Macaca mulatta: one gene and its partners. The protein of the gene in region 1 binds, or shares a complex with, the protein of each later gene. Links are inferred from orthologs where the notes say so. Each region holds a gene or a part of one and is shown in the gene's direction. Other genes may lie near its edges.

Evidence for each region.
Region 2: KAT14 (region 1) and YEATS2 share a complex: the UniProt entries of both Homo sapiens proteins name them as parts of the ADA2A-containing complex. The link is inferred for Macaca mulatta from reciprocal best matches to the Homo sapiens genes KAT14 and YEATS2.
Region 3: KAT14 (region 1) and MBIP share a complex: the UniProt entries of both Homo sapiens proteins name them as parts of the ADA2A-containing complex. The link is inferred for Macaca mulatta from reciprocal best matches to the Homo sapiens genes KAT14 and MBIP.
Region 4: KAT14 (region 1) and DR1 share a complex: the UniProt entries of both Homo sapiens proteins name them as parts of the ADA2A-containing complex. The link is inferred for Macaca mulatta from reciprocal best matches to the Homo sapiens genes KAT14 and DR1.

What each region holds. Positions count from the first base shown.
Region 1 is NC_133415.1:65,841,348-65,847,239, reverse strand, and holds part of KAT14 (cysteine-rich protein 2-binding protein), read left to right. Parts: intron 1-3,384; coding exon 3,385-3,566; intron 3,567-5,892. UniProt on the Homo sapiens protein: Component of the ATAC complex, a complex with histone acetyltransferase activity on histones H3 and H4. May function as a scaffold for the ATAC complex to promote ATAC complex stability. Has also weak histone acetyltransferase activity toward histone H4.
Region 2 is NC_133407.1:95,833,823-95,840,454, forward strand, and holds the start of YEATS2 (YEATS domain-containing protein 2), read left to right. Parts: upstream 1-2,778; 5' UTR 2,779-2,988; intron 2,989-3,072; exon of another isoform or gene 3,073-3,205; intron 3,206-5,622; 5' UTR 5,623-5,915; intron 5,916-6,632. UniProt on the Homo sapiens protein: Chromatin reader component of the ATAC complex, a complex with histone acetyltransferase activity on histones H3 and H4. YEATS2 specifically recognizes and binds histone H3 crotonylated at 'Lys-27' (H3K27cr).
Region 3 is NC_133412.1:109,417,857-109,423,228, reverse strand, and holds the end of MBIP (MAP3K12-binding inhibitory protein 1), read left to right. Parts: intron 1-1,482; coding exon 1,483-1,521; intron 1,522-1,615; exon of another isoform or gene 1,616-1,786; intron 1,787-3,099; coding exon 3,100-3,207; 3' UTR 3,208-3,723; downstream 3,724-5,372. UniProt on the Homo sapiens protein: Inhibits the MAP3K12 activity to induce the activation of the JNK/SAPK pathway. Component of the ATAC complex, a complex with histone acetyltransferase activity on histones H3 and H4.
Region 4 is NC_133406.1:146,924,252-146,930,809, reverse strand, and holds the start of DR1 (protein Dr1), read left to right. Parts: upstream 1-2,619; 5' UTR 2,620-2,801; coding exon 2,802-3,021; intron 3,022-6,558. UniProt on the Homo sapiens protein: The association of the DR1/DRAP1 heterodimer with TBP results in a functional repression of both activated and basal transcription of class II genes.

The sequences.
Region 1 (5,892 bases):
TCAGATACAGAAAGTAGAACGGTGGTTGTCAGCACTGGGTGGGGAGGGTGGAATTGGGAGTTGTTTAACGGTTGTAGAGTTTCAGTTTTGCCCTTTGAAAAGCGTTCTGAAGGTGGATGGTGGTGGTGATTGTGCCATATAAATGTACTTAATACCACTGAACTCTACTCTTAAAAATTAAGATAGTAAATGTTATGTATATTTTACCACAATAATAATTTTGGGGGAAAACTTTTTTTTTTTTTTTTTTTAAGACAAAGTCTTACTCTCGTTGCCCTGACTGGAGTGCAGTGGCGCGATCTCGGCTCACTGCAACTTCCGCCTCCCAGGTTTAAGCGAATCTCTTGCCTCAGCCTCCTGAGTAGCTGGGATTACAGGTACACACCACCACGCCCGGCTAATTTTTGTATTTTTGGTAGAGATGGGGTTTCGCCATGTTGGCCAGGCTGGTCTTTTTTTTTTTTTTTTTTGTTGAGACAGAGTCTCGCTTTGTCGCCCAGGCTGGGGTGCAGTGGCCAGATCTCAGCTCACTGCAAGCTCCGCCTCCCGGGTTTACGCCATTCTCCTGCCTCAGCCTCCCTAGTAGCTGGGACTACAGGCGCCCGCCACCTCGCCCGGCTAGTTTTTTGTATTTTTTAGTAGAGACGGGGTTTCACCGTGTTAGCCAGGATGGTCTGGATCTCCTGACCTCGTGATCCGCCCGTCTCGGCCTCCCAAAGTGCTGGGATTACAGGCTTGAGCCACCGCGCCCGGCCATTGGGGGAAAACTATTTAGGCCATTCATAAATACTGTGTTTATATATGTCCTGGCAATAAATTTATTCCATTTTATGCAAATATTTTGTTATGTGTCTGTGCTGTGATTTAGCTGGCTCTATTAGTTTGCTAATGATGCTGTAACACAAACTGGATGGCTTAAACAACAGAAATGTATTCCAGTTCTAGAGGCTGGAAATCTGAAATCCAGGTGTTGATAGGGTTGGTTCCTTTTGAAGGCTGTGAGGGAGAGAATGTTCTATGCCTCTCCCTAGCTTCTGTGCCACAGGCCTTCCTTGGCTTGTAGATGACATTCTCCCTGTGTCTTCATGCATCTTCCCTCTCTACACATCTGTCTCTCTGTCCAAGTTTCCCCTTTGTATAAGGTCACCAGTCATATTGGATTAGTGTTCAACTTCATGACCTCCTGATCACTGTTTGCACGTAAGGTCACATTCACAAGTACTGGGACTTCAACATCTTTTGGGAGAACACAATTAAATCTGTAACACTGGACAATAACTTTATAAAGATTTATATTGTTTCCAGTTTTTGTGTGTTTAAGTTAGCCTTGTGGGGAATATTCTTGTATATATATCCTTTGTGTTTTTATGATTAGAAGTAGATTTGTGAGGTCAGAGGATACACACAATTTTGCTGTACATTATGAAAGTAACCTCCAGAAAGTATATGCCTGTTTGTAGTCCCACTGTCAATGTACAAGTACGCACCCATTTTCCACACACTAAATAACACATTGGTTTTTAAAATCTTTTGAGTCTGTCAATCTTTTTATTGTTTTTGTTTGAGATAGGATTTCATCCTGTCACCCAGGCTGGAGTGCTGTGGCACAGTCATGGCTCACTGCAGCCTTGACCCCCCAGGCACAAGTGATCCTCCCACCTCAGCCTCCCAAGTAGCTGGGACCACAGGCACGTGCCATCACACCCAGCTAATTTTTGGGTTTTTTTTGTAGAAATGAGGTCTGTTTGCCAAACTTTTGTTTATTTATTGCAGTGAAAACAGTGAAAATTTACCATCTTAACCAGTTCTAAGTGTACAGTTCAGTAGTGTTAAGTATATTCACATATTTGAATATAGATTCACAGATGGCCAGAACTCTTCTCAGCTTGCAGATCTGAAACTCTATCCCTATTAAATAACTCTCCATTCTCCCCTCCCTACAGCTCTAGGTAGTCACCTTTCTACTTTCTGTTTCTATGACTTTGACTACTCTAAATACTTCATATATGCAGAACCATACAGTGTTTGTCTTTTTGGGACTGGCTTATTTCACTTAGCATAATGTCCTCAAGGGTTATCCACATTGCAGCATATGACAGGATTTCCTTTATTTTTAAGACTGAATAATATTCTATTGTATGTGTTTATGTTACATTTTGTATTAGGGTTTGGAAAGATTAGAAAAAGAGAAGAATGTAGGATAGGTACTTTGGGACCAAAAGGTTGGGGGTTTCATTCTCTCCATCTCAGACAGTGCTTTTTTTGAGACCAAGTTTTGTTCTTGTTGCCCAGGCTGGAGTGCAGTGGCACAGTCTTGGCTCACTGCAACCTCCGCCTCTCAGGTTCAAAGATTCTCCTGCCTCACCCTCCCAAGTAGCTGGAATTACAGGCGTGTGCCATAACACCTGGCTAATTTTGTATTTTTACTAGAGACGGGGTTTCACCATGTCAGCCAAGCTGGTCTCGAACTCCTGACCTCAGGTGATCCACCCGCCTTGGCCTCCCAAAGTGCTGGGATTACAGGCGTGAGCTACCATGCCCGGCCTCAGATAGTGCTTATGCCTACTGTATCTTAGCTTATTTATTTTCTGTGTTTTCTATTAATAATACATCGCTGTTCCTCAGAATGCTTTTCCTTTGCCTTCCCAGCATTATCTTCAAACTGTTAGACTGGTCTTCTTGTGAAAGACTGTCTTTGAGGATTTTTGGCATTCGATTTATGTTTTCAAGGTGGAAATAGAACAGTTGCCTTAAAAGAATTTTCAACAGGGAACCCCAAATAGTTGACATTTTGTACATTTTGGTTATTTTGTCGTGCAGTAGGTGCTTGTGGAACATGCCACATAGTTTTGTTACCACTCTAGTGCTTCAAGGCAGATAGGATCAGATTGAGAAATGTGTGCGACTTCTCGGGTAAAATCAGCTGTTCACTGGAGCCAGTGATTAACTTCTATCACAAAATGCCCAGGCTTGGAGTTACACTTTTTGTATGGTTTATTCTTGGGAGCTGTGCTTAATTCACATAAAAAAGCAACTTAATTAAAATTAGCCTGTAGAATTCCATAATCGTGATGATTGTGATGAGAAGTATTTTACATGCTTTGTTTGAATTATTTCGTTTAATCCTCCTAGCAACCCTGTGAGGTAAGTTCTATTATCCTGGTTTTACAGATGAACAAACCGAGGGTGCTAGAAGTTGGTAGTGCCAGGGTTTGAAGCAGGTGGACTCCAGAGCCTCTCTCCTGCCTCTCGTGCTCTGCTCCTTCAGTAGCTGGAGGTGCCATTGCATGTTGCAGGCCGGGAGTCACAGTATACACAGACTGTCTTTTCTGTATAATGAGCAAATTGAAGTGCCAATCATTTTCAAATTCTTGGACTCTTTAGGAAAAAGACGTCCACCTGGTGGAGCACCGTGGCAGGTTGCCTCAGCGTGGGAAGTCCCATGTACTTCCGTTCAGGTGCTCAGGAATTTGGAGAGCCGGGATGGTGGAAACTTGTTCATAACAAGCCCCCAACGATGAAACCTGAAGGAGAGAAGTTGTCTGCCTCTACTTTGAAAATAAAAGGTACTGTTGTGAGAACAGTACAAAAGATGCTAGTCAGACCAGAGCCAAGCAGGTGTGAGTCCAGGAGACACTCCTGCTTCCACTGGGCATGGCTTGCAGGCCTCTCTGGAACTACTCTGCTTAATACTTCTGTGATGATACTTGTGTGTGTGCTAGAAATAAATGCCACATAAAAACATTTTATCATTTCCTAATCAAGCTGTCATTTCTATAAATTTCCCAGGGTATCTGAAAGGTTCAATGTTTTCCATCTGGTTTTTGTTTTTAAACTTCTCACAAAGGTGAAAAGATGTTTTAAAATTCCCTTAATAAATAACATGATGAATTCCCATGTACCTTCCACCTCACTTTGACATTAACTCCTGACAGTCTCATTTTATCTAAATCCTCAATACTTTCCCCCAACCTTCCCCATTCTTACTATTGGATTATATAGAAACAAATCCCAGGAATCAACATTTCATTTCTAAATATCTTAGACTATCTCTAAGAGATCAGGATTCTTTCCTTTTTGCAGCCTGACCATAATGCCATTTTCATATTTAAAAAGATGTTAAGAGTAACTTCTTACTATCACATATTGATCTGGTTTTATGATCTAAAAAGTTTTTAATGAGCTTTTAAATTTTTATATTTATTTGTTTGCTTGTTTGTTTATTTATTTATTTGAGATAGAGTCTCACTCTGTCACCCAGGCTGGAGTGCAGTGGTGCAATCTTGGCGCACTGTAACCTCTCCCTCTTAGGTTCAAATGATTTTCGTGCCTTAGCTTCCCAAATAACATGCCACCATGCCCAGCTAATTTTTTTAAAATTTTTATTAGAGACGTCTTTTGCCATGTTGGCCAGGTTGGTCTCGAACTCCTGACCTCAGGCTATCCACCTGCCTTGACCTCACAAAGTGCAGGGATTACAGGGTGAGCCACCGGACCAGACTGATGAGCTTTAATATAATTGGGAAGAAAATCAAATAGTACTTAAGGGTGTAAAGTATGAAAGTTCCCCCTCCTGCCTATTGCCTGCAATTTCATTTCCCAGAGTAACCACTGTTGTCTTTTGTGAATACTTTCAGAAATGATCTCTGCAGATTTAAGCATTTTCTTACTTTTTAAAAAAAGTAAAATGGACTCATACTATATGAGTTTTCCATTTTTGCCACACTTACCAGTATGTCTTGGACATCTTTCCGTGACAGTACATGTAGATTTACCCTATTTTATTTCATTACATCCATTATATAATTATGTGATAATTTGTTAAACCATTCTCCTGTTGATGGACATCTTGGTTGTTTCTACCTTTTTGTTGTTTTATTTATTTATTTTTTAATTAAAACATTTAAAAAAAATAATAGAGATAGGGTCTCACTATGTTTCCTGGGCTGGTCTTGAACTGTCGGGCTCAAGTGATCCTCTGGCCTCTGCCTCCAAAAATGTTGGGATTACAGGCGTGAGCCATCACGCCTGACCTTTTGTTACTTTAAACAGTGCTACAATTCTACAAATTTGTGTACATGTGAAAATGTGATAAATTCCTGGAAACAGAGTTCCTACATCAAAGGGCATATTCATTCAAAATTTTAATCAGGATTGCCAAATTATCCTCCAAGAAACTGTAATAAGGCCGGGCGTGGTGGCTCATGCCTGTAATCCCAGTACTTTGGGAGGCCGAGGTGGGTGGATCATCTGAGGTCAGGAGTTCAAGACCAGCCTGGCCAACATGATGAAAGCCCATCTGTACAGAAATACAAAAATGAGCCGGGTGTGGTGGTGCATGCCTGTAATCCCAGCTTCTCAGGAGGCTGAGGCAGGAGAATTGCTTGAACCCGGGAGGCAGAGGTTGCAGTGAGCCGAGATCACACCACTACATTCCAGCCTGGGCAACAGAGCAAGACCCTGTCCCCCCAAAAAAAAGTGCCCATTGAAATGCCCATAAAAATGCCCATTTCCCCATACATTTACTGAGCTTTATCAAACTTTTTTTTTGGCTCACTGCAGCCACCACCTCCTGGGCTCAAGATCTGTCCACCTCAGCCTCCCAAAGTGCTGGGATTAAGAGGCGTGCACCACCACGCCTGGCTAAACTTTTAATGTTTACCAGTTCCAGTAGGTGAAAGACAGTATTTATTTGTTTAAATTTGCAGTATAACTTCTTTTTTCTCAAGAGATATCTAAGTCTTTTTTAGTTAGGGCATTCATTGAACATTTCTCTTTCTTGAACATGATACTATGCATAATGATAAATTAGCAAAGGAAACTAAAGTTGAGTAGTTATTTTAAAATTTAGATATGGGTTGAGCAATCCAAATCTGAAAATCCAAAATCAAA
Region 2 (6,632 bases), on another chromosome or scaffold:
ACAGGATACAGGGGAAGCCTCAGGGCAGCATGGGAGGGGAGATCTGTGTGCAGGATTGTGAGCTGTAGCCTGAGTTTTCACTGGCCTCTGCTGCTATGTCTCTGGTGACTTCCAGTCTCCACTGCCCTGTGGGCATCAGCTGCTGAGGTGGTTGGCTGGCAAGCTCATGACCTGTTGCTTTAGCATCTTCACAGAGTTTGATGTCTCATCTTTCATCCCCAATCTACCATCCCTGCTCTTCTCACCAGCTGACTTAGGAGTGCTTCAGCTCCACTGGTATCTTCAGTACTGCCCATCCTTGGGGTCTTAGCTACATTCTGTGGCCATTCCCTGGCCATCAGCCTACCACAAGGCCTTTGCTTTAGGAAACCTGCCCCTTGGCACAGTGCCTATTGGTCTGTCCGTGGCTCGTAACCATGCTACTTTCTTTTTTTTTTTTTTTTTTTTTTGAGACGGAGTCTTGCTCTGTCGCCCGGGCTGGAGTGCAGTGGCCGGATCTCAGCTCACTGCAAGTTCCGCCTCCCGGGTTTACGCCATTCTCCTGCCTCAGCCTCCTGAGTAGCTGGGACTACAGGCGCCCGCCACCTCGCCCGGCTAGTTATTAGTAGAGACGGGGTTTCACCGTGTTAGCCAGAATGGTCTCGATCTCCCGACCTCGTGATCCGCCCGTCTCGGCCTCCCAAAGTGCTGGGATTACAGGCTTGAGCCACCGCGCCCGGCAACCATGCTACTTTCTGCATGCCAGGCAGGGAGCAACAAGAGAACTCTGGAATTCTGACATACCTACTGTGCAAACTGCAGTGCCCCAGCAGCACTATTGCAGACTCCTCCCAATGCCATGGCCTGCTCCCGAGCCCTGCTGTGTGAGCCTTCTCACAGAATTGGACAGCCTTCCAAGCTAGACCAGGGGAGGTCAACTTCTAGCTTCCTCAGCACTTACCTGGGTATTTCTATGCTTCCCACCTGAGTGTTAAACCCCAAGAGTAGGGGAACACCAACACACTCATCCTGATCTCTGACCTCACCCCCTTCTCCATGAAATTTATGTTTATCTCCCCAGTTCCTATTATCTCTTGAGTCTTAGCTTAAGGTTCAAGGAAGCCTTTCTTAATTGTTTTTGTTTGTTTGTTTGTTTGTTTGTTTTGAGACGGAGTCTTGCTCTGTCGCCCAGGCTGGAGTGCAGTGGCCAGATCTCAGCTCACTGCAAGCTCCGCCCCCCGGGTTTACGCCATTCTCCTGCCTCAGCCTCCCGAATAGCTGGGACTACAGGCGCCCGCCACCTCACCCGGCTAATTTTTGTATTTTTTAGTAGAGACGGGGTTTCACCATGTTAGCCAGGATAGTCTTGATCTCCTGACCTCGCGATCCGCCCGTCTCGGCCTCCCAAAGTGCTGGGATCACAGGCTTGAGCCACCGCGCCGGGCCCTGTTTATTTGTTTTTGAGATGGAGTTTCACTTTTGTTGCCCATGCTGGAGTGCAATGGTTCACTGCAACCTCCACCTCCCGAGTTGTGATTCTCCTGCCTCAGCTTCCCAAGTAGTTAGGATTACAGGCATGTGCAACCATGCCTGGCTAATTTTTGTATTTTTAGTAGAGATGGCGTTTCACCATGTTGGCCAGGTTGGTCTTGAACTGCTGACCTTAGGTGATCTGCCCGCCTCAGCCTCCCAAAGTGCTGGGATTACAGGCGTGAGCCACCACGCCCATCCAGGAGGATCTCTCGAGCCTGGAAGTGTGAGACTAGCTGTGGTGATAGTCAGACCTGTCTTTAAAAAAAAAAAATTAGTCTGGGGGTGGTGGCTCATGCCTGTAATCCCAGCACTTTGGGAGGCTGAGGAGGGTGGATCACCTGAGGTCAGGAGTTTGAGAGCAGCCTGGCCAACATGGTGAAACCCTCTCTCTACTAAAAATACAAAAATGAGCTGGGCGTGGTGGTGCATGCCTATAATCCCAGCTACTTGGGAGGCTGATGCAGGAGAATCACTTGAATCAGGGAGGCAGAGACTGCAGTGAGCCGAGATCATGCCACTGCACTCCAGCCTGGGCAACAGAGGGAGACTCTCTCAAAAAAAAAAAAAAGAAAAAAACCACAAAAAACAAAACACCATTTACATGTATTATGTGTAGATAAAAACATTAAATACATAAAAATTTGATAACATGTAGGTAAAGTATTAAAAAATCAGCTCCAGTAGTAAATCTTTATACAGTGAGGAGGGATTGAAGGGGAACAGAAGATCCCCGAAGACCAGTTGGGAGGCTATTTATAGTCCTGGGCAGAGAGATGACAGGGTCTTGGGTAGAGGGTGGTAGAGTTAGAACGAAAGAGAATGTTGGCCTCAAGAGATATTTAGATGGAAAACTGGACTTGGATTGTCACTAGTGTGACTGGGATAAGTCTCAAGCCTTCCCTGCCTCAATCTCTTCATCTGTAAAATGGGCTAGCAATAACTACTGTTATTTGTATACGCAGCACTTAGCACATGGGTTGGGACAAAGATGGCACACACAAAAATCATTGTTACTATTGTAATTAATAGGGAAGCTCATACATACCGGCAGAATGAATATTCTGTCAAACTTGGGGTTGAAATTCGCCACCTTCTGGGGCAGAAAAGTGATGGACAACCACGCCTTTGCGAGAATCGACGCCCACACTGCCCAGGAAGTGGCCTCGCGGGCCGGGGTCGCAGCCTGGACCAGCCCCGCCCCGCCCCGCCCTCATCCCTGCGAGCTCCGCCCCGAGGCCGCGCGCGCGCGCCGCCGCCACCACCGCCGCCGCGCGCGCCCCGACGCGCCCGGCTGCTGACGTGCGGGGCGGAACGGGTCGGGCGGGTTCCACCGATCTGGGTGCTTCCGCGGGCTGCGGGGGTCGCTGGGGTTTCGTGGCTGGGCAGCTCCGCGGGGCTTCGCCCGCTCCCTCACCTCGCTCTACCCTCTCGCGGCGCCCGGCGGGGCCGCGCTGCAGCTGGAGACCCGGAGAAAGGGTGAGTGTTGGCGGGCGCAGGAAGGGACCGCGCGGGCGCGCGCCCTGCTGTCTGGGGCATTGTTTGGGCGGGGGCGGCGCGGGCACGTGCGCGCCCCTCCCCCATCGGCCGGCTGCGCCGCGGCGGGACCCGGTGAGGCCCCGGGCCGGAGGGGAGGGCAGGGAGGATCCCAGGTGCGGGCCGAGGAGCCGCAGAAGCGGGAGCCTGGAATCGGAACGTGAGTTGGGGGCTTCCTCTTCAGCGGGGCGCTCCGCTGAGGGGATGCGGGTCCCCGAGCCTCAGCGGCCGGAGGTTTCGGGATGTTAAGCTCTTGGCCTTGGAGGCAAGATTTGGCCCCAGGACCAGAAAGTCGTGGGTTTACCGAAAGGATCCTGGAATGCCCCTCCAACCTGTCGCCATCCCCACCGGCCCTCCCGGGATGGAGGGGAGGGGTTAGAGAGGCTTTGGGGTTCCAGGGAGGGGGCCGGGGCCAACGCGCCGGAGCTGCGGGCAGTGCGGGGCGGAGTGGAAGCCTCGGAAAGTGAGGACTCCTGCAGGAAAGGCTGGCTTGGAGGGCTGTGGCCAGACTGCAGAAGACAATGAGGTTCTCCCCATCATGAATGTGATTATGTTAAGAAATGGAAAGCAGAGAAAGAGAAATGCCATCAGCGATCTTATAGGCCTGACACATCATTTTTTTAGTTTGATGTTTGCTAGTATTTTCATCTAAGCCTTCAGCAGTTACAGAGTTGACCCACGTTTTCCATTTCTCGCTCACATGTACAAAATGCGCCATAATATCATATAGTATTCAGCAATATCATTTCCCCTTAATGAGTAGAGAGTATTCAGCGTAGAAAAATTTAAAAATACAAGCAAAGCAAGAGAAAAATGCCCGCAGTTTTACGGTCTAGAGATATTACCCTTGGATGTATATTCCTGTTTGTGTATACTCTTTAAAAGATAGGGCAGATGATGCTCTGATTAGGAGTTTAGTTTTTCCGGGAAACCTTTGAAGGTTTTGAGAAGGCGAGTAGCATAATCCGACTGCTATGTAGAGGAAGAGGGCTGGGGAGGAACCTACGAGGTCAGTTACTGTGCTCTTTGCAGTAGCTTAGACTAGGCCCATGGCAGGGAGATGGGGAAGTGTAAACAGATTTTTAAGTGTTTTGAAGGTAGAATGAACAAGACTTGGAAATGAATTGGTGAGGGAATGGTGGGAGTCTTTGCTTTTTTGATTTTTGTTTTGAGCACCTGAGTGAATGGTGGTGCCGTTTACTGAGATGAAGAATGGAAGAGAGAAATTTGAGGTGGGAAAAATATCGAAATCTATTTTGGATGTATTAAATTTTAGATGCTTATTAGTTATGAAGTCGGTGTGTTGAGGCAGTTGGATGTAGAGGGCTGGAACTCAAGGAAGAGAGAGGCTAGAGCTAGAGATAAAAATCGGAGTGGCTGGGCGCAGTGCTCACACATGTAATCCCAGCACTTTGGGAGGCCGAGGCAGGTCGCTTGAGCCCAGAAGTTCTAGACCAGCCTTGGCTACAAGGCAGGACACCGTCTCTTAAAAAAAAAAAAAAAAAAAAAATTGGAGTGATCAGTACATAGATGACATTCAAAGGTATGGTGCTGTGTGAGATCACTGAGGGGAAGCGTGAAGAAGTGAAAGGGGCTCAGACACTCAAATACCTGTAGGTCTGGCAGAGGAAGAAGGTTGAGGAAAGGACACAGGAAACAGCAAGTGAGGTAGGAGAAAAAGCTGGTATCATGGCAGCCAAAAGAGATATTTCTGGAAGATGTTGAATTGGTCCTTTTATCAGGGCTTCTGAGATGTTCATTAAAGTTGTCAATTGGATTTGGCAACACGGAGGTCATTGGTTTTGGTCATTGGTCTTCCTGTCCATAGTTCTGGAAGTGGAAGGTGGGAACCAGACTAGAATAGTTTAATGGAATGTGAGGAAATGAAACTAATGAGTGCAAATTAGAAAAAAAGTGCCCCTATTTCCATCTGCGCCAAAACTAAACTGGATCGATGAAAAATGATGTCTTGTGTTTTTTTCATTTATTGATTACTAGTATGTTTGAACATTTTTTTCACATTTATTGGCTATTTGCGAATTTCTTTTCTTGTTCTCTGGCATCTTTTGTTATTTCCTAATTGATTGTCAAAGGTTCTTTAGATATTAAAAATAGGTAGCTTGACATACAGCATTCAGAGCTCTCCCCACATGTTTTTCAGTTTCCAATGCTTCATGTTCATTCAGCGGATGCATGATAGTTTGCGGTGGGTTATTTTTTATTATAAAATCCATAGGAAGAGGAGAACTAACATTACGTTGTAGATCTCTGAGTGCAGCCCACGTATGATGTACATTGCTCCGTATTTCCTTAGGATAGATTCTCAGAAATAGTTGGTCCTGTCCTCTTCTCATCAACCATGGATTTTTACTTGAATGTTCGTTGCCACGTTCTTGGATTGTTCCACATCTCCCTGCCTTTGGTCCTGCTCTGCTTTCAGTCTGTTTTCTATCATGATAGAAAGTAGATGGTGGGAGTTGATGCAGTTTTCTCACAGAAAACAAGACTTATGAAGCAGATTTTTTCTTTTTCTTCTTTTTCTTTGTTTTTTTTTTTTTTTTTTTTTTTTGGAGACAGAATCTCAGTCTGTTGCCCAGGCCGGTGATCCCAGCTACTTGGGAGGCTGAGGCAGGGGAATTGCTTGAACCCAGGAGGTGGAGGTTGCAGCGAGTGGAGATCGCGCCACTGCACTCCAGCCTTGACGACAGGGGGAGACTTCGTCTCAAAAAAAAAAAAAAAGGCGGATACAAAAAGCCACGTGCTGTATGATTCTATTTATACGAAGTGTCCAGAAACAGGCAAGTTTATCGACACAAAAAGTAGTTGCCAGAGGTTGAAGGGAGAGGAGAATTGAGAGTGACACTTAAGAGGTAAGCGGTTGCTTTTTGGAGTGATGAAAACATTATGGAAGTAGATAGTGGTGATTGTTGTGCAACTTTGTGAATATATTGAAATCCACTGAATTGCACACTTTTAAGTGGTGTGTGTGTGTGTCTATATATATATATATATATTTTTTTTTTTTTTTGAAATGGAGTCTTGCTCTGTCGCCCAGGCTGGAGTGCGGTGACACTATCTTGACTCACTGCAAGCTCCGCCTCCTGGGTTCACGGCTTTTTCTGCCTCAGCCTCCTGAGTAGCTGGGACTACAGGCACCCACCACCATGCCTGGCTCTTTTTTTTTTTTGTATTTTTATTAGCGATGGGGTTTCACCATGTTAGCCAGGATGATCTCGATCTTCTGACCTCGTGATCTGTCTGCCTTGGCCTCCCAAAGTGCTGGGATTACAGGCTTGAGCCACCGGGCCCGGCTGGTCAATATATATGTTTTTTGAGACAGGATCTGTCTCTGTTGCCCAGGCTGGAGTGCAGTGATGCAACCATAGGTCATTGCAGCCTTGAACTCCTGGACTCAAGTGATCCTCCCACCTCAGCCTACCAAGTAGCTGGGACTACAGGTACACACCACCATGCCCAGCTAATTTTTTTCTTTTTATTTTTCAGTAGAGACAAGGTCTCCCTATGTTGTCCAGGCCGGTCTTAAACTCCTGGGTTCAAGCAGTCCTGCTTTGGCCTTCCAAAGTGCT
Region 3 (5,372 bases), on another chromosome or scaffold:
TTAGCCAGGATGGCCTTGATCTCCTGACCTTGTGATCCACCCACTTCGGCCTCCCAAAGTGCTGGGATTACAGGCATGAGCCACCGCGCCTGGCCAAGGGGAATTATATTTGCATTAAGTGTATACAAAGCCACCTCTTAGGAAGTCAGGAGACTGATCAATTGCCAAATTAAACATTGATTCCTTATTTGCCCATAGGCCCTACCACAGGTATGCAGCTTGGTTTGGCAAAGGAAGGAGCATAATTATCTGAACTCTATTATTTCATAATTACTAATTCTAATACTTAATGATTTCCAACTTATTGTAACTTGATAAGAAGCATACCTAGATGTTCTTTGAATCAACTTTTGACACAAAGGAAAATGTGAGTTTTAATGCTATCTTCAAAATTTCAATAGTCAGAAATGCTCATGAGAACATTTTGTCTCTGAGATTCAGTTTGTTAAATATACTAGTTTACTAATTTGCCATTTAAAAGCTAGTGCTTGTGTGAAACTAAGAAAAAGTCTAGGAAGAATTCATTAGACCAAGATTTAAAAGGCTCATTAGTGGATCAATGAGAATGTTGTCAGCTTCAACTGTAAGAAATTTGAACTCAAAATTGGCTTAAACATTATGTAAACTATAAAATAGGAAGTCCATGGTAGCACAAGCTTCAGATTTAATTGATTCAGTGACTAAATCATAATTGTAAGAAAATAGGTTTCTTTCCCCTCTTAACTCTGCTTGGTGTTACCTTCTTTCCCAGGCAGATGGCAAGATGGCTACAGCACTTTCAGGTGTCTTACCCAGATACAGCAGTATCCTGAGAAACTGCCTTCTTTGAGGGCTTTCTCTCAAAAGATGTGAGGAAGCTTTTTCCAGAAGTTCTCCTCTTAATCTCCAGCAGTCTTCTCCTTTACTCATTGGCCAGAACTGGACCCATGCCCATTTCAGTCACTGATAAGACCAGGAAGCCATTGGCTTGGGCCACACAGAGAAGCAGTGGATAGGTAGCTCCTTGCATAAACAACCACAGTGTCCATTATAGTCAGTCCAGGGTGTGTGTGTGTGTGTTTTCACCTCTTGGCCTCATATACCAGATTATATTTTTCCTTTGTCTATTGTCACTTCGCTTGTTCAACACCCTGGGATGGAAAGGTTATAAAAAAAAACTAAGCAGAAAATCCCCAGAGCACCTCTTTCCACAATCACCCAGGCTCATTAGAAGCTGGTAATTGATGGGAAAATATGTATTGCCAAAGATAAGCATGTTGCTGCAGTATTATTATTATATATTGTTAATGTCATCCTCTTTAGAGGGTAACTTGCAGAATATAAGGTGGATGTTGGTTACAGACAATAATTGGTATTGGTAAATTGGTTGGCTTTCTTTCTGTCAGAGTTCCCAAGGCTGTACGTAATTTGTACGGTATTTCATAAAGAAAAAAATAATGCTTAGATTTTTTTAAACGTTGATTACTTTTTTTTAAAATCTAGAGCTTTTCTGGAAAAAGAAGAAAAGTTCAACCACCTCAAGTAAGTTACTGCATTTTCATTTTGGTTTCTGAAATAGTTTGATTAGTTTTATACCTTTCTTATTAATAAAAGTTTCTACTATGGTTGCTTTTAGGTCATACCCTGGTACAATTTACGACTGAAGAAAAGGGCAGTATAAACTAATATACTTGAATAGAAAAATTCTTTTAAGGGCATGGAATGACTCAGATAGGTTAAATAAATAAAACCTTTGTCCTGCTTTTAGTAGTACAAGGATGTGTCATTCATCAAGTGCTTAAAAATAGTAAGTGCTCAAGTAATTTCAGTCTCCCCCCATCCCTTCCTTTTGTGAACACTTCTGATTAGTAGCATCTACATCAAAAAGGGTGTTTGGCAGAGTTTGACTTCAGCTGGCCCTGTCTAAAGTGCTACTTTACTAATTAGTTGAACCTTAAATAATAAGGCTTTGCTAGACTTTAATAGTGGTAATGTGAATTTAAAGTTGGAGAAGACTTTCTAATTTTTAAGAGTAGCATTTTTTTTCTTAAAAAATTCCGAGTAAATTTTTTGATAGCAATTATTTTTTCCAGAAGTAAATTATTGTAGTTGATCCCTCAAGAGAGAATTTCTAGGTATTTTAAGCAGTTATTTTTAAAGTTAACTTTTTTTACTATTGATTATGAGAATAATCAGGTTTTTAAAAGTTACTCTTATGTAGTAAACTGTAACACTTTGTTGCTGCTTTAAAAATACAATTCACATAACATAAAATTCATAATTTTAAAGTGGCTATTAGTATGTTCACTATGTTGTACAACCATCACCACTAAGTCTAGAACATTTCCATCACCGCCCCAACCCTGTACCTATTAGCACTCAGTCCCAATTTCCCTTTCTCTTTACCCCCTAATAGTCACCACATAATACTTGTGTCTAAATTAGAAATATTAATGCAAGTGAGGGTGTTCACATAGATAGACTTGAACAAATCCAATTTTTATTGGAAAGCAAAAGGAGTGTTTTCTTCACTGTTTTCCACTTCAGGTTAACTTTAGTAATCAACATAGAAAGTTTTCTATTAAAAGGGATAGCTGATATCTCAAATGATTTTTTTCTCCTGGTAGTAGTATAATTAGCATTTTTCTTCTTCTTTCCAACTTTTACTTAAGCTCAAGGGGTTTTCAGGTTTGTTACATGGGTAAATTGCATGTCACGGAGGTTTGGTGTACAGATAATTTTGTCACCCAGGTAATCAGCATAATACCCGATAGGCAATATTTCAGTCCTCTCCCTCCTCCCATCTTCAAATAGGCTCCAGTGTCTAATAATCAGGCTTTTTTTTTTTTTTTGTAAACTTATTCTTTCAAAGTATAAAAGGTTCAGGAGAGCTTAATCATTAGAAAAGAGAAATATTTAAGCCTTGTTATTTTATGCTTTTAAATTTATGATATAGTCAACATATATAGTTGTGCAGGTTTAAGATTATTCTCATGAGGGAAAAAAACCCATTTGATCATGCTTTTAAATATTTTAAATATTTATAGTTCATTTGGCACTTTATCTGCATTAAGATACTTCAGAATCTTATTCAGCAATTTGTGTCGTTATTGTTTACAGCAGAACTATTCACTGGCTGAACTTGATGAGAAAATTAGTGCCCTCAAACAAGCCCTCCTCAGAAAATCAAGAGAAGCAGAATCCATGGCAACCCACCACCTTCCATGAAAAACTCCTCTCCATCCTTGTCATTTTACTTTTTTGTATACATATGTGTAACTTACACTGTTATTAATTCAACGGATATATATTTATCAATGTAGACTTCTCTGTGAAGTCAAGGTTTATTTTCACGAGTCCAGCTTGCAGCAAGTAATCTTCAGATATTCCAGTAAGTTTTTAAATAATGAATGTGTTGAAAATAGCATTGTTGGAATTTATTCCCTTCTGTTTTAAAGGAGGTATTTTGGAAATTGAAAAACTTAATTTAAAAGTGCTGGTACATCTTTTTTCTTTTGTGGACCACAGAAAGGAAAATTTATTTTGATATTGATACTTTAAAAGGACTTTATATTTGTAACATTGGTGTTAACCAGTTTATTAGTTTAAATCAGTACTTTGCATATAATAGGCATTCAACAAAAATTTATTGACTGAAATGAATTTTAAATGGATGTATGAACTTGTTTTTCTTAATTTCTAAGATGTCAGTATTCATGTAAATAAACAATAGATCCAGCTTTATCCCTTTATTGACTGTGTGACTTTGAACAACTTACTTAATCTGTCTTTGTCCTCATTTCCCAGTCTGTGAAATGGGAATGACAGTAATAGAAACTACCTTACTGTTATGAAGAAGAGGTGAGATCATGTATGTTTGAAACTGTCTGTCTCAAGGGAATTGCTCAGTAAATGTTAGCTAATATTATAAAACCAGGTCTGGTTTTGGACAGCAATTAGGATGTTACAAAGAAATTATAGTACCTCTCTTTTGAGAGCCTCACCTTTACAATACCCCAGTTATTAGGCAGTACATACATTATTGTGTCCAGAATTGGTGGGTTCTTGGTCTCACTGACTTCCAGAATGAAGCCGCAGACCCTTGTGGTGAGTGTTACAGTTCTTAAAGATGGTGTGTCCGGAGTTTGTTCCTTCAGACGTTCAGCTGTGTCTGGAGCTTCTTCCTTCTGGTGGGCTCATGGTCTCACTGTCAGGAGTGAAGCTGCAGACCTTCGTGGTGAGTGTTACAGCTCTTAAAGGCAGCGCATCTGGAGTTGTTCATTCTTCCCAGTGGGTTCGTGGTCTCAGCTTCAGGAGTGAAGCTGCAGACCTTCGTGGTGTTACAGTTCATAAAGGCAGCATGGACCCAAAGAGAAAGCAGCAGCAAGATTTATTGCAGAGTGAAAGAATAAAGCTTCCACAGTATGGAAGGGGACCAGAGCGGGTTGCCACTGCTGGCTCGGGCAGGCTGCTTTTATTCCCTTATCTGACCCCACCCACATCCTGCTGATTGGTCCACTTTACAGAGAGCTGATTGGTGTATTTACAATCCTTGGGCTAGACAGAGTGCTAGACAGAAAAGTTCTCCAAGTCCCCACTAGGTTCAGCTAGATACAGAGTTAGCTATAAACAGAGTACCAATTGGTGTAGTTACAAACCTTGAGCTAGACACAGAGTACTGACTGGTGTATTTACAAACCCTGAGCTAGACAGAGTGCCGACTGGTGCATTTACAATCCTTGAGCTAGACACAGAGTGCTAGACAGAAAAGTTCTCCAAGTCCTCACCCTGCTGAGGAGCCCAGCTGGCTTCACCTAGTGGATCCTGCACTTGGGCTGCAGGCAGAGCTGCCCGCCAGTCCCCAGCCGCACCTCCCTCCTCAGCCCTTGGGCGGTGGATGGGACCGGGCACCACGGAGCAGGGGGCGGAGCCCATAGGGGAGGCTCAGGCCACACAGGACCCCACTGCAGTTGGGGGGCTCAGACATGGCGGGCTGCAGGTCCAGAGCCCTACCCGGCGGGGAGGCAGCTAAACTCGGTGAGAATTTGAGTGCAGCCCCCGCAGGCTGGCACTGCTGGGGGACCAGGCGCAACCTCCACAGCTGCTGGCCCCAGTGCTAAGCCCCTCACTGCCCTGGGCCAGCAGTGCCAGCCGGCCGCTCGGCGTCCCTATGGGGCTCCCGAGCCCTTGCCTGCGCCTGCCGGAACTCACACTGGCCTGCGAGTGCCCACGCAGCCCCGGTTCCCGCCCGCGCCTCTCCCTCCACACCTCCCCGCAAGTGAGGGAGGCGGCTCCAGCCTCAGCCAGTCCAGAGAGGGGCTCCCACAGTGCCGTGGTGTGCTTAAGGGCTCCTCAAGCGCTGCCAGAGTGGACGCCAAGGCCGAGGAGGCACA
Region 4 (6,558 bases), on another chromosome or scaffold:
CAACTCAGGACATTTTTTGCCAGCTAGCTTTTTCAGATTGATAAACTTGATAAGGTCAAGATAAATTTAGGCACTATAATAAATCTTTAAATCAACAGTAAACTGACGAAAAAAAAAAAACAACAAACCACCACTTCATAAAGATTTTTTTTTTGAGACAGTCTTGCTCCGTCGCCCAGGATGGAGTGTAGTGGTGCAATCTCGGCTCACTACAACCTTTGCCTCCAGGGTTCAAGTGATTCTCCTGCCTCAGCCTCCCAAGTAACTGGGATTACAGGTGCCCACCACCACACCCAGCTAGTTTTTGTATTTTTAGAAGAGGTGGGGTTTCACCATGTTAGCCAGGCTGGTCAACTTCTGAGCTTAAGTGATCCGCCTACCTTGGCCTCTCAAAAGTGCTGGTATTACAAGTATGAGCCACTATGCCCGGCCTGAAGAAAATTTAATTAAAATACTGTTTTTAATCAAAGAAATTTTGTTTTGACTAAATTTAGTAGCACTGAAAAACAAGTGTCCACACTTCAGAAATTAAAGAACCAGTAAGTGGTCCTGGAGAAAATGCTAAATGAAAAAATAGAGTAATAAACTGTAATGTCTTCTTGAGAACAGCATACAGGGCTCAGACAGAATGTTTTAAGAAAACATTGTCAACAAGCCAGGTGTCATCAAGAGTAATGAATCTGATGAACCAAAGTGACAAAATGGATTTAAACGGTGTCTTGTTTTTAGAAATTCCAACATCCCACTATTTATATAGCCTCTTATTCCACACGACAGTATGACAAACTTAGTTTGTCTTTTTTTTTTTTTTTTTAACGTTTTTTGAGACAAAGACTCTTTCTCTGTCACCCAGGCTGGAAATGCAATGGCACAATCGCAGCTCACTGCAGCCTTGACCCCCTGGGCTCAATCGATCCTCCCACCTTACCCTCCAGAGTAGCCAGAACTACTGTGCCTGCCACCAAGCCCGGTGGAAAAAAAAAACCCGTAAGAGTGTCATACTGTCATATGGGAGAAGAGGCTATACTATAAACAGTGGGATATTGGAATGAATACACACACACACACACACACACACAGATATTTGTAGGGACGGGTCTCACATGTTGCCCAGGGGGGTCCTGAACTCCTGGGCTCATGTGATCTCCCTGCCTCAGCCTCCCAAAGTGTTGGGTTTACAGGTATGATGAACCACAGCGCCCGGCTGACACACTTTTTAAAATGCAATTTCTGTTTAGATCTTGACACCTGTTGATATTACTAGTCACTATGGAAAGAAGCAAAAACAGTTAAGATGCTCTAACATTTTTTTCCCCTGTAGAAGCCAACATGGAATACACCATGAAAACTGTCTAAATGGGAACCTTCTAATACGGCTCATTGTACGCCATGCATTTCCACTACGTTGGAACTGACTTCTACTTTCCTCCTTATCTATTAGGCGACTTAGTCGCCTCTAGGCAAGTAACTTCTCTGTTTCATTTTCCATGCAGTAAAAAAAAAAAAAAAAAAGGTGGAGGACTTTAGAGAGCTTTTACCCGAATAAGGTCTATTAGACATCTTCAAAAGCTTTCTCTCCAGACGACGCAGAAACAGGCACACGGGATTCTGTGCTTTCCCCACCTCCCACTCCCAAGCCCAGGCCCCATTCTTCTCACTTTCAATCCTCATTTGGGCTCCTAAAAGAATAGCAAAGAGAGTTCTTTTATCAATACCAGCGCTCCTCTGTCCCCAAATCCGGCTAGGGATGGGTTCGGAGGCCTCAGCTGCTGGAGAGAGGGTAGAGACGATCCTTCCTCGCCCATCTAGCCAGCCACCACCCCTTCCCAGATCTAGCGTCCGGGCCCCTGACCAAGCGCGTGCTTGGAGCTCTCCGGTACAGTGACGCGCGCGCTTGCCCGGCTAGGGCCCCTGTGAAGGAATGGGATCCCGAGGTGCTTGCCAGGACCGCAGCAGGCGGAAGCTGCTGGCAGCGGGAACGGGCGGCTCCCGTCAGCGTGGGTGGGGGAAGGGCGGCAGCCACATCCGGAAGTCGGTCCGGGAGGGAGGGGGAAATCTGAGGAACGAAGCTTCCGGCGGCGCAAAGGGTGTCGGGAGCGGCTTCCTGCAAATCTTCCCTGGCCTCTGGAGGGACCACCGTTGCCGCCGCTTCGGCTTCCAGGATCTGCGTTCGGGTTACGCGGCCACGGTGGCAGCCACTGCGACTCCCACTGTGCCTGGCTCTGTCCATATTAGTTCCCAGGCGGCCGTCGCCGTTCCAGCAGCGGCAGCGGCGGACATGTTGTGAGGCGGCGGCGCGGGTGTCTGAAGGATGGTTTGGCCGAGGCGGCGGCAACGGCTGCTGGCGGCGGCGGCAGCGGCAGCGGGGCCTCGGGCTCTATAGAGCCGAGCCCGCTGGGTACCCGCCCGGTACCGCGGCGAGGCCAGTGCCCCTGGATCTTGCCTCTTCGACGCCGTTGGGGACCAGTTAGGCGACAGTGCCCGCCCCTCTGAGGAGACCCGAAGGTGGTTCCCCAGCCGCTCAAATTTCCGGACCACCGCGCTTTCCCCTCAGCCTGGGCTGTGCTCTCTCTAGAATCCTCAGGCCCCCACTTTCTTCCCAAACTCATCCTAAATCTCTCACACACGCGAGCGTTCCCAGCCCTCAAGCCAGCTCCTCCTCCGTTCATTTTCTGCACCCTCTTCGCGAAGCACCCCCCGGGATCACTCTCCGAGGGCGGCTTTTTGAGAGATCTCCGTGGAGTAGTGGACCAGAGCCGGGGAGTTTTTAAAAGCCGGGGCGCGAGAAACAGGAAGGTACTATGGCTTCCTCGTCTGGCAACGATGATGATCTCACTATCCCCAGAGCTGCTATCAATAAAATGATCAAAGAGACTCTTCCTAATGTCCGGGTGGCCAACGATGCTCGAGAGCTGGTGGTGAACTGCTGCACTGAATTCATTCACCTTATATCTTCTGAAGCCAATGAGATTTGTAACAAATCGGAAAAGAAGACCATCTCACCAGAACATGTCATACAAGGTAAGTCATGTGTGGAAATTGGTTTGAATGAGGGTCTAGGGGAGCAGTCTGCTAATCGCGTGACGCTTTCATGTCAAAGCCTTCATTCCTCTTCACTGGTAAGTAACTTAATGAAAAAGCCAGACTGGCATGTAGGTAGCCCGTGCTTTAAAAACAATCCCTTTGTAGCATTCTTGCAGTACTTTTCATCTAGCGAATACACGTAAGGAGTGCAAACATTTAGGTCAACGTCCCCAAAACATAAAGAGTGATCTCACTTTACAGCCAGGTAAGCCGAAGCAACAGGAATTGCTTGCCTGAAGTTGAACTTAGATAATAATTAAGGAACGCAGAAGTTCTCCCTTGGAAAATTAAAAATTCAGACAGAGGAACTTCAAGTATGGATGGAGACAGAGCGCCCCTTCCCCACCTGACCTTTCACCAATGTAGAGGAAAAGATTTATTTTCTGAACACATGAGTTAAAAAATTCTTAATATACAATGTGTTCAACGTTGTCAAGTTTATCGTTGTTGAATAAAAGGAGGTATGTTTTCTGCTCTAAAAATGGTTTGATGGTACGTTCATGAATGAGTTACGAAAGCACTCCTGGTCCATTCTGTAAGAAAAGGGTGAACTTTAAATTTTTGTTTTTTTCTTTTTGTTTGCCTTTATGTCGTTTGCTTTGTTCTATTCTGTGGAGATAAGTTTTAAAATCTTTGATTGAAAGTTTATGCAAGTTTTTTTTTTTTAAACGGAAAATTTCCCCGTCCTTTCCTGCTGTCATTCTTATTTGGATGCATACACTTAGGCTTTTATTGAACAGCACTTCTGAAAGCTTCAACAGTTTCTTTTATCCTGAAAAGGTTGTGGTCCCGTAATAGGGATTTGGGGGACTGTATTCTAATGGTTTCAGAGAGGAGAAACATATTTACTAGTCATAATGTTTCGGGAATGTACCTTTTGCGATATTTTTACATGTACTCTTGTGAAAGAGTTGTTCTCAATTTGAAGTGAGAACTTGCCTTTCGTAATAATCTAATTAAAAGTATTGATTGCTTGTGAAACCAGGGAAAAAATGGTTAATTTTAATCATTTTGGTAGGCAGGTGGTTGTCTGTCACTTAATTTTTATACTTTAACTTTTTAAAATGTGACTTGCCTGTTGTACTGAAGTAGAGAACACATCTGCTTATGTTGACCATATCCAATATTTTACTGTCAGTATTGACAAAAGGATTAAATGATTGATTTTTAATCCTTTATGACGTCTTGAAAGTAGTTTTAAAATATATCCTGCCATTTCAGTACATAAGGAGAAAAATCCCTAGGAAAAAGCATATTTGATTCTTAAAACTAGTACTAGTTTTTTTTTTTTTTTTCTACTTGATGTGCTGAATACTCTAGCAAGTAAAATGAAAGCCAAGTTGTCTGTTTTTTCTCTTGTGTATTTATTTTTACATTGTATGTGTGATTGCTGTCATAAGTCTTTCACAAGATTATCCAGCACAGATAGCTGTAATTTCTTTTTACAACTCATAAAAAGGAAAAAGAACTTTTTATCAACATTGCCTTTCTAATGAAAATTGCAAAAGATTTCAACAGGGTCTGCCTAAATATTTGTTTACACTACAGAAGTGGGGATCGTTCCAAAAACCTAATAACACATTACAGTCTGTCTTCTTGGGGAGAGTTAATTCTTTTCTAGGATATATTTAGATTTCTGATTGACATGATGGAATAGAAGTGCAGCTGTAGCAAGCAGTATGCTAAATAATTCAACTTTGGAATATGCTAAATTCAGTTTAATGTGTGAGTCAGAAAGCTATAGTGAAAAAGCATTTCCATTGTGTAATGAAGATGATTTGTTTTTGAAAATCATGTATTGACGTGTTATAGTCTTAAAATTTTACCTCTTTTTTTTGTATTATGCTATTGTTAGGTGGATAAGAATCTACATTTTCGCCCAAGAATTCTCCCTAATTGGGGTTGTAGACTTTATACATTTATAATCTCATATTGCTTAATTATTCCAAAGAAGTTTTGTTTTGAGAGGTTAAATTTTTAAAGAAATTCTTAAGGTTTATATGTTTTAGGTGTTTGAAGTGTGTTCCTGTACACTAATCATAATAGATAGGACATTTTTATACTTTTCTGTCAGCATTGATTAGGAATGTAGAATATATCCAAGTGGAATAAATAATGTACATTTTAAAGTGGTATGATTCTCACATGTTGAAGTTTGAGTTTTTAGTGGTAAGTTTAATGAACTGGACTTTGCTTTAGGACATTTCACTTGTTCATTTCCCACCTTGCTTTATCTTGTCTGAACAAATTAAGCATTCTGAGATAGTTCTGTAAAATGCAAGTTAAAGTTGAACCAATTTGATCACCAGTAAATCTATTAAATAACTTAGTTTAAAAAAATTTTTTTTCTGTTTTGCTTATTTTGAGTTTAAGAAAGTAGACTTGGTATTGAAGATCATAGATATGTGAATAGAGGGAGTTCTAAGCTATAAAAGGTGTTCCTATTTTATTGCAGTTTTTTGTGAACACGTATTCTTGAATGAGTTCTAACATGTTCTGTCACCTTATAGAAAGAATTGACATTGAGAGTCAGCTTAAGTTCTGCACTGAGAATTCTTTAACCTTAGGTAAATCTTTTAACTAAGGTTTTCTTATTTATGTATAAATAATACTTGATTTCAGGTATTACTTGTAATTTTTGAGAATTAGTCAGGGGTTGAGAACCTTACATGAAATATCTCCCCTCCCATTATGAGAATTGTAACTGGAAGTAGTAAAAGTTTGAGAGTATCTGAGAATTTACATCTTCAGCCACTGAGTTGCTCCAAGCTGTCTTATGTTGAAGGAGTTTTTAAAAAATTCCTGTCCGTCTCACACTGGTACCTTTGTAAGATAACATGAAAATGGATCACTGGAAAAGATGAGGAAAAGACCAACACTTAACTTTTTACTATTAGATTCAATAGACATAAAATTATTTTGTCAAATTGCAATGAAGGTACTTAAATGCGTTGAATTTCCATGGTTAACTAATGTTAACCATTAGGAGCTGTTCCGGCATAAGTCCATGGACCACACTTTGAGAACCTTTGCTTTAAAGCCTAAACCACAGTCTGTGTTGGAAAGTGGACATGAGTAGTAAATAATCATTCATACAGATATTTTTTCCGAAGGGACACATCTAATTTGCACTGCAAAATTTATCACATAATCAAATGCTTTTCAAGTTAGGATTTTATTAATACTTTTCTTAAAATTAATGTATCTTTTGTTTCTGTTTTCCTTCTGCCACCCTACAATTACTTACTGAATACTATCAAGTATTTGGCATTGTGCTAGATACTACTAAGGATATTAAGATAAATGATACTCAATTCCTTCCCTGCCATTAGTCTCTCATTGTTGTCCAAGATTTCCAGTAGTGATACCATGGAGGACATGGTTCTTAAGGGTCTTCAGAAACCTTTGCCAGGCTAATGAGCCAAGAAGTCACTTTGGCCTACATCCTCTTAATGTATTTTATGTGAAATACAT